2 linked regions of the Oryzias latipes genome follow. Each later gene encodes a partner of the first gene's protein in a complex. Links are inferred from orthologs where the notes say so. Each region holds a gene or a part of one and is shown in the gene's direction. Other genes may lie near its edges. The genes, in order: dffb and dffa.

Region 1 (4,297 bases):
GATTCTTCTGAACACGGATTCTCTTGTCTTCTTCTCACTGATGGATACTTGGCAGCACTTCCTCCCAAACAGCTGAGACCCTCAGTGTGGATGAAGATGATTATTGAAATTTAGTCAGAGAGGATGTGCTCCCTATTTTGAGTCTGTGTTGAAAGTTTTTTTTTAAGTTTACTCTTTAAACCACAAATCAGTAAAGGAAAAACAAAATTCAGAAATCGTTTTTGGATTTTCTTCCTGATGACTTTTTGCACATTTAAACCCCGGTCACAAGATGTTGTAGAGCAGCCGGTCAGCCACTCTTATATTTTCATAGTTGAATTCAAACTGTGGTTCCTAAAAGAACGGGTACTGTTCACTGGAGATCAGAACAATGGTTACCTGAGATCAAAGAACGGCTCCAAAACGGATGGAAATTCATGTTGGTGACACCAAATATGTGCAGCCAAGATGCACAATAAGCGTGTTTGAGATCACGCTGGAAATTTAGTACTGCACTGACTGTAAGCTGCCCGCATGACTACAAAACAATGCATTGTGGGACATGTGTCCTGATGGGTTTTTGTAGTTCACTGATCAATTAAAATAATTTAAAATACCAATTGATTAAAAAAAGTCTACATACATTAAAAAACATTAAAATAATTATAAAAGATATAATAACACAGATCATAGGGGGTAAGGCATATTAAAACGAAATTGAAAGTTAAAGACAACTCCAGCTTCCTGTTCTCCTTCAGTCTTGCTGCAGATTCGCCTTCATCTCACAACCCCACATAACGAGCGAATAGACACTTTCTAAAAAGGAAAGTAAGGAACTCCTTAGTGTGGTCTGGGGAGGGGGCTGTCAGGTGCTGCTTTCAAGCCCGGTCACTGTCACGCCCCCAAGAGACATTTACCCCACTGTGATTGGTTGGTTGGTCAGCTCCGCGCACGACAAAGAAAAAGTGTCATTCATACAAATTGGCCGGCTGCATTAACATTAAACTTTCATATTAAGGCGGGGGCCGCAAAATATCATCTTGGGGGTCGCAAATAGCCCGCGGGACCCAAGTTTGAGACCCTTGGCCTGATGTAAATGAACTTGCTGATAAGCGGATGTGGACTTTCAAAATAAAAGCCGTATATTGCTCTGTCTAAACTGATTCTCCGCAGATTTCTTTAGTATATCTCTGTAGAGATTTACATTTCTGTTGTTGTTGTTTTTTCTTATTATTTTTGCTTTGATCGCCTGAAATAAACAATTTCCATTCTAGACGGGAAAGCTGTTTTGAACGTGTTTTCCTGTCAGTGGGGACCACGCCAGCAGGGGGCAGCACCGCGGCGCAGCAGCATGGGGATCGCAGAAGAAGAACGGCCAGGAAGCGGCACGTTCGAAGAGGAAACATGTTCGGAATCAAACCCGTCAAAGTTCGGAGTCTGCGTGGAAACAGCAAGTACGGAGTAGCAGGCAGAGACGTGGAAGAGCTGCTCCAGAAGAGCTGCCGCTTGTTCCAGGTGAGCCCGAACTCCTCAGGGTTCTCCGGAACACGGCTCGCTTCGTTTGAGAACTTGACTGATCATGATGATGCAAACCCCAAACCAGAAAAGCCGTCACTGATTTGGTAGAACCACGACCAGAACCAACTGCAGTAACTTTTGCTTCGTTGGATTTCAGCTGCCGGTGTCTGGGGCCCGGTTCTGTCTGTACGAAGACGGAACCACTGTGACCCAGGAGTTCTTCCAGACTCTGCCGGAGAACACCGAGCTGGTCCTCCTGTCGGGAAAGCAGACATGGGGTGGAGGTACCACAGTTTCACCTGCAGACCCCTCCGGTTTGGGTTTGTAGTTCTAACATTGTGGGTGTTGTAGTTTTTAGCGACGTCAGTCAGCTTCTGCAGACAGACCGACATGCTGAGGGCCTCATCCAGGCTGCGAAATGGCTTCTCTGCGAGGAGGAGTCCTTCAAGAGACGGAAGATCCTCGCCGACCTGCTGCAGAACCTGGAGGACCGGTCCGAGCTGGAGAGCAGGCAGGAGGACCAGGACTGGTTCAGCGGTACGAGATGTGGCTGGGATGTTTCCCAAGAACTTTCTGTGGGTCCACACATTTCTAGGGTCCAAAGTTGGTGACCACAAACAATAGAGCTTCCAATTCCAAACGCAGAAATAAATCAAGTAGATCTCAAATTAAGCAAGTTATTAATATTTTACGTCTTGCTGATTTGTTTTTGCGGCTAGAAAACAATGGGAAACGTTGGAATCACAGGTTTGTCTTTTTCAATACCACATCTTCCCTATCTGTGCTCTAAACACCATCAATGTGTCACAGGACATTATTAAACGGATCCTGCAGTGTTTCGTCACCTTTATGTTATTACCTGCTTTACATCTACCCAATGCAGTTTATCATACAGTATTTACATTTTACGTTGTTGCCAGACTCGGGTCTGCAACGGCGAACGTTTCATGGAGATTCCTCCATGTTTTGGGGACCTTGTCTATCTGGTAACTTTCACAAAGATGTGAAATGGAACCAAAGCTGCTCACAAACCTCCACTAAGTCCACGCTACCTTTTGTAGAATCTAAGTAAAAGCTACCTCAGTATTTATGTCAGTTTTCCAATGTGGAAACCAAGTTCTCCAACGGGGAATTGAACACGCGCAGACGGCGTGCACAGTGACGCCCTTAGCGGTACCGACTTTCTGGCACCACATCCTTCAGCGGACATTCTAAGGTTCTACAGGGGAAGTTTTCCAAACTCGTTTTTGTCTCCATTCAGGAGTTGATTCTCGATTTAAAACCAAGTCGGCCTACATGAAGTACAACTGTGCCAGCAGGATACGAGGCTACCTGAAGGAGGTGAGTCTCCGGATCAGAACCCGGGTCCGCCGGGTCCACGGTCCTGAAGCCTTTCTTCCTGTTTGAAGGTGGATCTGGCCTCCAAAAGCATAAACAAAGCCAAAGTCAGAGAGGAATATTCCAGAGCCTTCAAGCTCCTGGTAGAAATGCTGAAAGGTGACGGTTATAACGGCAGCTACTTCGACAGGAGCGCAGAGGAACGGCGCCGTCTCTGCACGCAGCAGGGATGGTTCACCTGCCAGGTGAGGAGTGTCAGCAGAGGTTCTGCCTGTAGCTCTGGAGCTGATCCTGTCCTCCTTCAGGGACCGTTTGACCAGAGGACGTGCCAGCAGCTCCACTCCATCAACCCCTACAGCAGCAGGGAGAGCAGGATCATCTTCAGCACCTGGAACCTGGACCACAGGTGGGTCTGCAGCCTTTTGGTCGATGCCACACCTCCACGCTCATCTTCTCCATCTTTTCACGTCGTCTCAGGATTGAGAAGAAGAGGACCGTCATTCCCACGCTGCTGGAGCTCCTAGAGACTCACCAGAGCTCAGCGGTCAACCTGGACTATTTCTACGGCCTGCTGTTCACCAGACAGAACCTGAAGTTGGTTCACATCGTTTGTCACAAGAAAGGAGGTCACAACCTTTCATGCGACGCCAGCATGGCGGTGAGGGCCTCCAGCCACGCAGGGGGAGTGAAGAAGAAGGTCCAGGTGAAGAAGAGGCGAGTTCTTTAGACGGAGAACCGTTCTCTTCCCTCAATCAGTGCAGCGTTTCCCACAAAGCTTCACAATCAGGAAGGTTTTATTTCCCCAACATTTTGGCACAAATACAATCATAGACTCTAAACTTAAAAGATCAAAGCATTCTGCATAAATAAGGCAGTAAAGTATGTACAGGATTTCACAGAATGATCCGTTTTTACAAACCATGCCATGTTGTGTTTAGTGCAATCATTGAACCTGCTAAAAATCCAACGCATCTACTGATCATCTGCAGATGGAAATGTATAGAAAAGTACAAACGTTATATCAAGGTCACGCGTGAAGAAGCTCCTTCAGGATTAGTAGCTGCGCTGGCGTCTCACACATTCATGAGGAAAAGCTGCCGAACTTTTGGTGAATCAGACTTGTACAGCAGGTCTCTGCCCCGTTGGATCACCTGACGTGTCGTCCAGGTTTGATCTTCAGGCCGATTTGGAAAAACTGCATCGTGGAACCCGAGAACCTCTGCCGCTCTTCCAAAGCCAAACCGACGCGGCGTCTGGACCCAGCTTCTCTTCTTGAAGTAGCTTCATTGTCTTGGATGCGAAGAGAAGACACCAGGTCCTGACGCCGTGACCATTGGCTGTTTGAGAGGACTAGAGTGGGTGACTCCACCCCCCTGGCGTTCCAAACAGGAAGTGGCTCCAAGAAGCCAAAATCCCGTAGACTTCTCTAGAGAAACAAACCGCTGTTCCTCAGTCATTCTGT
Region 2 (4,549 bases), about 8.8 Mb from region 1:
AGTTCCAAAAATCATCACGTCTTTAAATGTTTCCATCTGCAATCAGCTAAATGCATTCAGTAGACTTTTACCTAAAAAGGACCCCAAAAGTAAATACATAATTTAAGGGGTTCTTTTTTTTTTTAATCATATCAAATTTAAGCTAGAGTTTGATCCTTAAAAATTATACCAGTGAAAGTTTAGGTCTGAATAGAAGACATCAAAAATACAGGAAATATTCCATAATTTCAACAACAGTTACTAATAATTTAACTAAAAAAGCAGTTTTTTTTTCAATAGTTACTGGCTTTCCAACCCCTCTTGATGAATCCTCATGGCAAAGTTAAAGGTTTGGAGTTTTTCTTATCATATTTCTCAGGGCAAACAGACCATTTTAGGTTGAAGATAACAAGATAAAGTATACAAATAGGGTGTAAACACAATAATACTGTGCCCTCCAAGTAAAAAAATAAATAAAAAAGGACAAGGTAGAATGTGACAAAAACATCTTTATCAGTTATTTTGGGCTTATTACAGGACCTGGACACTGAAAAGCTCCAAATCATAGTAATGTGCATTAGAGGGAACCAATGACACTGTTTGGTGTTTAATGACTTAATATAGAAGACTACTGTGAAATTTAAAGTGCAATGATAGAATGTGCGAATATTTTTTACCCAGACAAGTGTGGTGACTTTTGGAAACTTTTAAGACTGCTCTGGGATCGACTTTTACGTTAAAGTGAGTTGGAGAGCACCATGATTACTGAATTTGTGAAAACATAAAGGTAGCATTTCAGATATGGTGAAGCTTAGCCGTATAAAGCATTGTAACTGCAGTAAATTATTTTTGATCCATGTTCGTGGAACATTAAATGTCGAATATAAAATCCCGAGGTTTTTTTTTTTTTTGTGACCTTTCCCTGTGTCAACAATTATAATCCATGACTTTGACAGACCCAAACCCTCACCGCCATATAGAAAGCTGTAGCACGTGGTCAGTTATTAAATGCATAATTGTTGCTGAACCCCAGAATGCCTTTGACCTCCCATGTGTCGAAGACCACTTTAAAATAACACAACCAGTTAGCATGCTAACTAGCAAACAAGCTACCTCTCTTCGGCTGTGAAACGTTTGCTTAAAAGGTGTACGGAAACCAGCCACAAAATAGCAACTCAAACAAATGGTGCATAAATGTTTTCGGACGTCAAATGCTAACTGGCTTGGTGTATAGAGACCTGTGTTGGCGTGTCAGCTTGGTCGATGGATGCCATCTTCCTATAGTTCTCTGGGATATCCACGCTCGATTGCTTTTCCTGTTCCGTCCATTCGAAACATCAAAGTTCTTTAAAGCGTTTTATTTAGTTTAGTTGGGATGCACTTTCATCGGAACAAAGTACAGTGATGTATTTTTCCCCTCTCAGTTGCGAAATACGTTGAGCGGATTACGAAACAGAGTGGAGATAGGTAGACTAAACCTTTCCCCATTTCTCAAACAATAAACAACAATTCCCACAATTCATAGCGCCCTTCGGCGGTTATTTCCGTGTATGAAGAAGTAAAGGTGGCTGAGAGCTCAAAGCGGGTTTTCCCATTCTCTGTAGATTCCTTTACCGAATAATATTATCCTTTCAGAATAAATTTAAGAATGACTGATGGAAAGGCGTGTAAAGTGTGCAATTTCACCCGGCAAAAATCCTACGGAGTGTCTGCACCTTCTTTAGATGACTTGAAGAAAAAAGGTAAGGGAGGACCGAGAAGGAGGACTGTGGGAACTAGTATGAGATTATCTGACATTATATGCTTTTAATCAAAATAAGAAGCCGTTCATGTATTCGTGCAGTCGCAGATTTTAAGCATTTATTTTTATTTATCTGCTTCGCGCCTAAATTGAGAGAAAATCTCCAACCGCTGCACTGACTGTCACATTTAAAACTGCTTAAGCCGCAAAACAACGGTGATAATACTAGGCTATTCTTAATGCTTATGAATGTATTTGACTATAATTATATTATCTGTTCAATGTTAACCCCTACATGGCTAACATGAAAAGCCTGCTGCTGTTCATTCCTGAGATGCGAGTCACCAGGCGTTTCCCTGATCTGCTTTTTGCAAGAATATACTTTAAATATTCATTATCTGGAATCAAAACAATGTTTCACAACCCCCCCCCCCCCCCCCCACACACACACACACACACACAAACAACAACAACAACAACTAAAACCAGCAATTATAGTTTATGCATTTTTAAAATTATTATTATTATTAAATATTTCTTTTGTGCACTTATACATGTTCCATAATTGTGATATATTCCTTTTAATCGGAATGCTTATTAAAGGTGTTTTGCAGATTTGTTATGAAAGCTGTTTGAGAATTATTTAACAATATGTATTTTTAATAACAGTGAAAACGTTTTTATTTTTTCCAGCTATACTGGAACAAAAACTTTTTCAAAGAGGGCCAGATTTGGTGAGGTGAAAATGTGTGAGGGCCATCCAATTGGCCTATAAAAACCAGTTTGATCCAATTATTCACTGTTAAAGGCTAACTGTAAACTTGTCAGTTTCTATCATTGAACAATGAAATAACACAAATATTATGTTAGTCAGAAGTGGTTTTGATGACAGAAACAAATAAATCTCTTCATGTCTACAGGTTGTTGCATAGGTCCACGGTTTATAACGCAATCTAGCCAATCACAATCAAGAAACTGTAGTTCTTAGAAAGTGCTGTGGGCCGCATATTATTGAGGTTGCCGGCTGGTGGAAATTGGTTGCATTTGACCCACGGGCCGGACTTTGGACATGCCTGTCCTTACTGTAGTGTTTTTATCATTGGTATTTCCCATAGGTGTCAGACTTTTCTGTGGACCTTAGGATGAAGTATGTTCACTTGATGCATGTTAAGTTGGTAACCTGTCCTCTCTTCCGGCTCCAGGATCCGAGTATCTTGGCTTCAGCCCCGGTGACCCAGTCAAAGTGGTCCTGGAGAATGACGGGACAATAGTAGAAGATCAAACCTACTTCTTGTGTTTGCCCTCAAATACAAAGTTTATGTTATTGCATGACAAGGAAACATGGTCTCCAGCTCGCAAGAGTAAGAATCTCAGAGTCCATATTGATGATCATTATCCGTCTGCAGGATTTCTACATGTTGTGCTTTGGTACTCTTTGTTTTAGTCGATGGTGGCACCGCTTGGATGCAGAGGGAATCGGTTATGCTGGAGATGGACACTGTTGACACCGGCAGTAGCTTAGCACCCTGGTTGGACCTGGCTCAGCAGCTAAAACAAGACCTCACCAGCATCATTCTTATGTCGGAGGCCGATTTACAGGTCCTACCTTGTTCTTATTTCAGTGATAGAACAGCACAAAACTGCCTGGTATATGAGAAAATAAAACTTAAAAATAACAGTTTAGCGGTTTCCATAAAGATTTTTGGAATATTGTCAGTGACCATAAGGTTTGAAAGTTCTCTGACTTGCAAAACAAAATAAAACCATATTTTCTATGCCACCGTAAACTTACTATTGGTCATTATGGCCAAGAAACTCCACTTTGGTGTTAGATGCTTCTAAGCTTTAGCACCAAAAGTCTTCTGTTTTAGTCAAAGTCAATTTGAAGAACTCAAAATTCCATAACTTTTTTGGACTTTATATCTGTCTCCCCATTCAAATAAACAATTTAGTCTTCTGCACACCGCTTCCTGGTACTTAACATTTAGGTAAATATGCATAGACATATACACGTGTGAGGCGAAGAAACTCCTTAAATAATCAGAAATAATCTTTCTAACCACAGACTTTTGAATTCCAAAATGTCAGCTTTACAACACAATTATGTGCTTCTGCTTCCCACAAGCAAGCCACAATTGTAGAATATTCTACATTTTTCGTACCTTTAAACTGCTTTTTAGGACTTATAAGTTAATTAGTGAAGCTACTTTATAATCCAACCCTACAAAAGCACCAAAGGCCAACGTTTGAATGCTCTTTTATAAATTACATTATGAAAATAAAAATGTTTCTTCAACTCAAGAAAACCTTTGATCAGATTAATTTTATTTCATTTAAAGTTAAAGAACTCCACACAAGATTCTACTCCTAACGAATTAGGAGTTGTTGTTTAGTTCATATTTGCTTTTGTTGTTGTTTATTCAAAAAATATATATGTTTACGTTTGGTTAGTTGACAAAAATAAACCTTATAGATTATGCTCTCCCTGTGCTGTGTATTATATCTAGAGCTTAGTACACACACTAAAATATGGCCTCACATTTGTATCCAGTTCTAAACAGCTGTTGCTTTACAAACAACTTTTGTTTTTCAGCTCTTGGTGGATGCTCCTAGCACCGAACTAGCAGCAGCTCTGGGTTTTCAAGTGAAAAAGGCTGAGGACCTGCAGGAGACGTTGCAGAATGTTTTGGATCGTAGGGAGGAGGAGAGACAGTCCAAGGAGTTGCTCCAGCTCTACCTCCGAACTGTGGAGAAGGAGGACAAACAGCTGGAGGAAGCAAGTCAGTCCAGCACCGGCACGGGAGGTATGGCTTTGACTTTACTACATCA

What was found.
Region 2: the proteins of dffb (region 1) and dffa are in contact, whole or in part, in an NMR structure (PDB 1F2R), measured with the Mus musculus proteins. The link is inferred for Oryzias latipes from reciprocal best matches to the Homo sapiens genes DFFB and DFFA. Residues at the interface, in NP_031885.3 of Mus musculus: Cys10, Lys12, Arg14, Ala19, Cys20, Lys21, Phe22, Gly23, Val24, Ala25, Ala26, Arg39; in NP_001020467.1 of Mus musculus: Asp66, Thr68, Ile69, Val70, Asp71, Asp72, Asp74, Tyr75, Trp94, Tyr96, Asp100.

The regions. Positions count from the first base shown.
Region 1 is NC_019865.2:672,215-676,511, forward strand, and holds the start of dffb (DNA fragmentation factor subunit beta), read left to right. Parts: upstream 1-1,320; 5' UTR 1,321-1,383; coding exon 1,384-1,494; intron 1,495-1,654; coding exon 1,655-1,781; intron 1,782-1,848; coding exon 1,849-2,034; intron 2,035-2,758; coding exon 2,759-2,838; intron 2,839-2,906; coding exon 2,907-3,080; intron 3,081-3,140; coding exon 3,141-3,241; intron 3,242-3,312; coding exon 3,313-3,562; 3' UTR 3,563-4,297. UniProt on the Homo sapiens protein: Nuclease that induces DNA fragmentation and chromatin condensation during apoptosis. Degrades naked DNA and induces apoptotic morphology.
Region 2 is NC_019865.2:9,511,648-9,516,196, reverse strand, and holds the start of dffa (DNA fragmentation factor subunit alpha), read left to right. Parts: upstream 1-1,522; 5' UTR 1,523-1,627; coding exon 1,628-1,721; intron 1,722-2,922; coding exon 2,923-3,081; intron 3,082-3,164; coding exon 3,165-3,319; intron 3,320-4,313; coding exon 4,314-4,524; intron 4,525-4,549. Other genes in the region: peroxisomal membrane protein PEX14, read right to left, coding at 1,218-1,253. UniProt on the Homo sapiens protein: Inhibitor of the caspase-activated DNase (DFF40).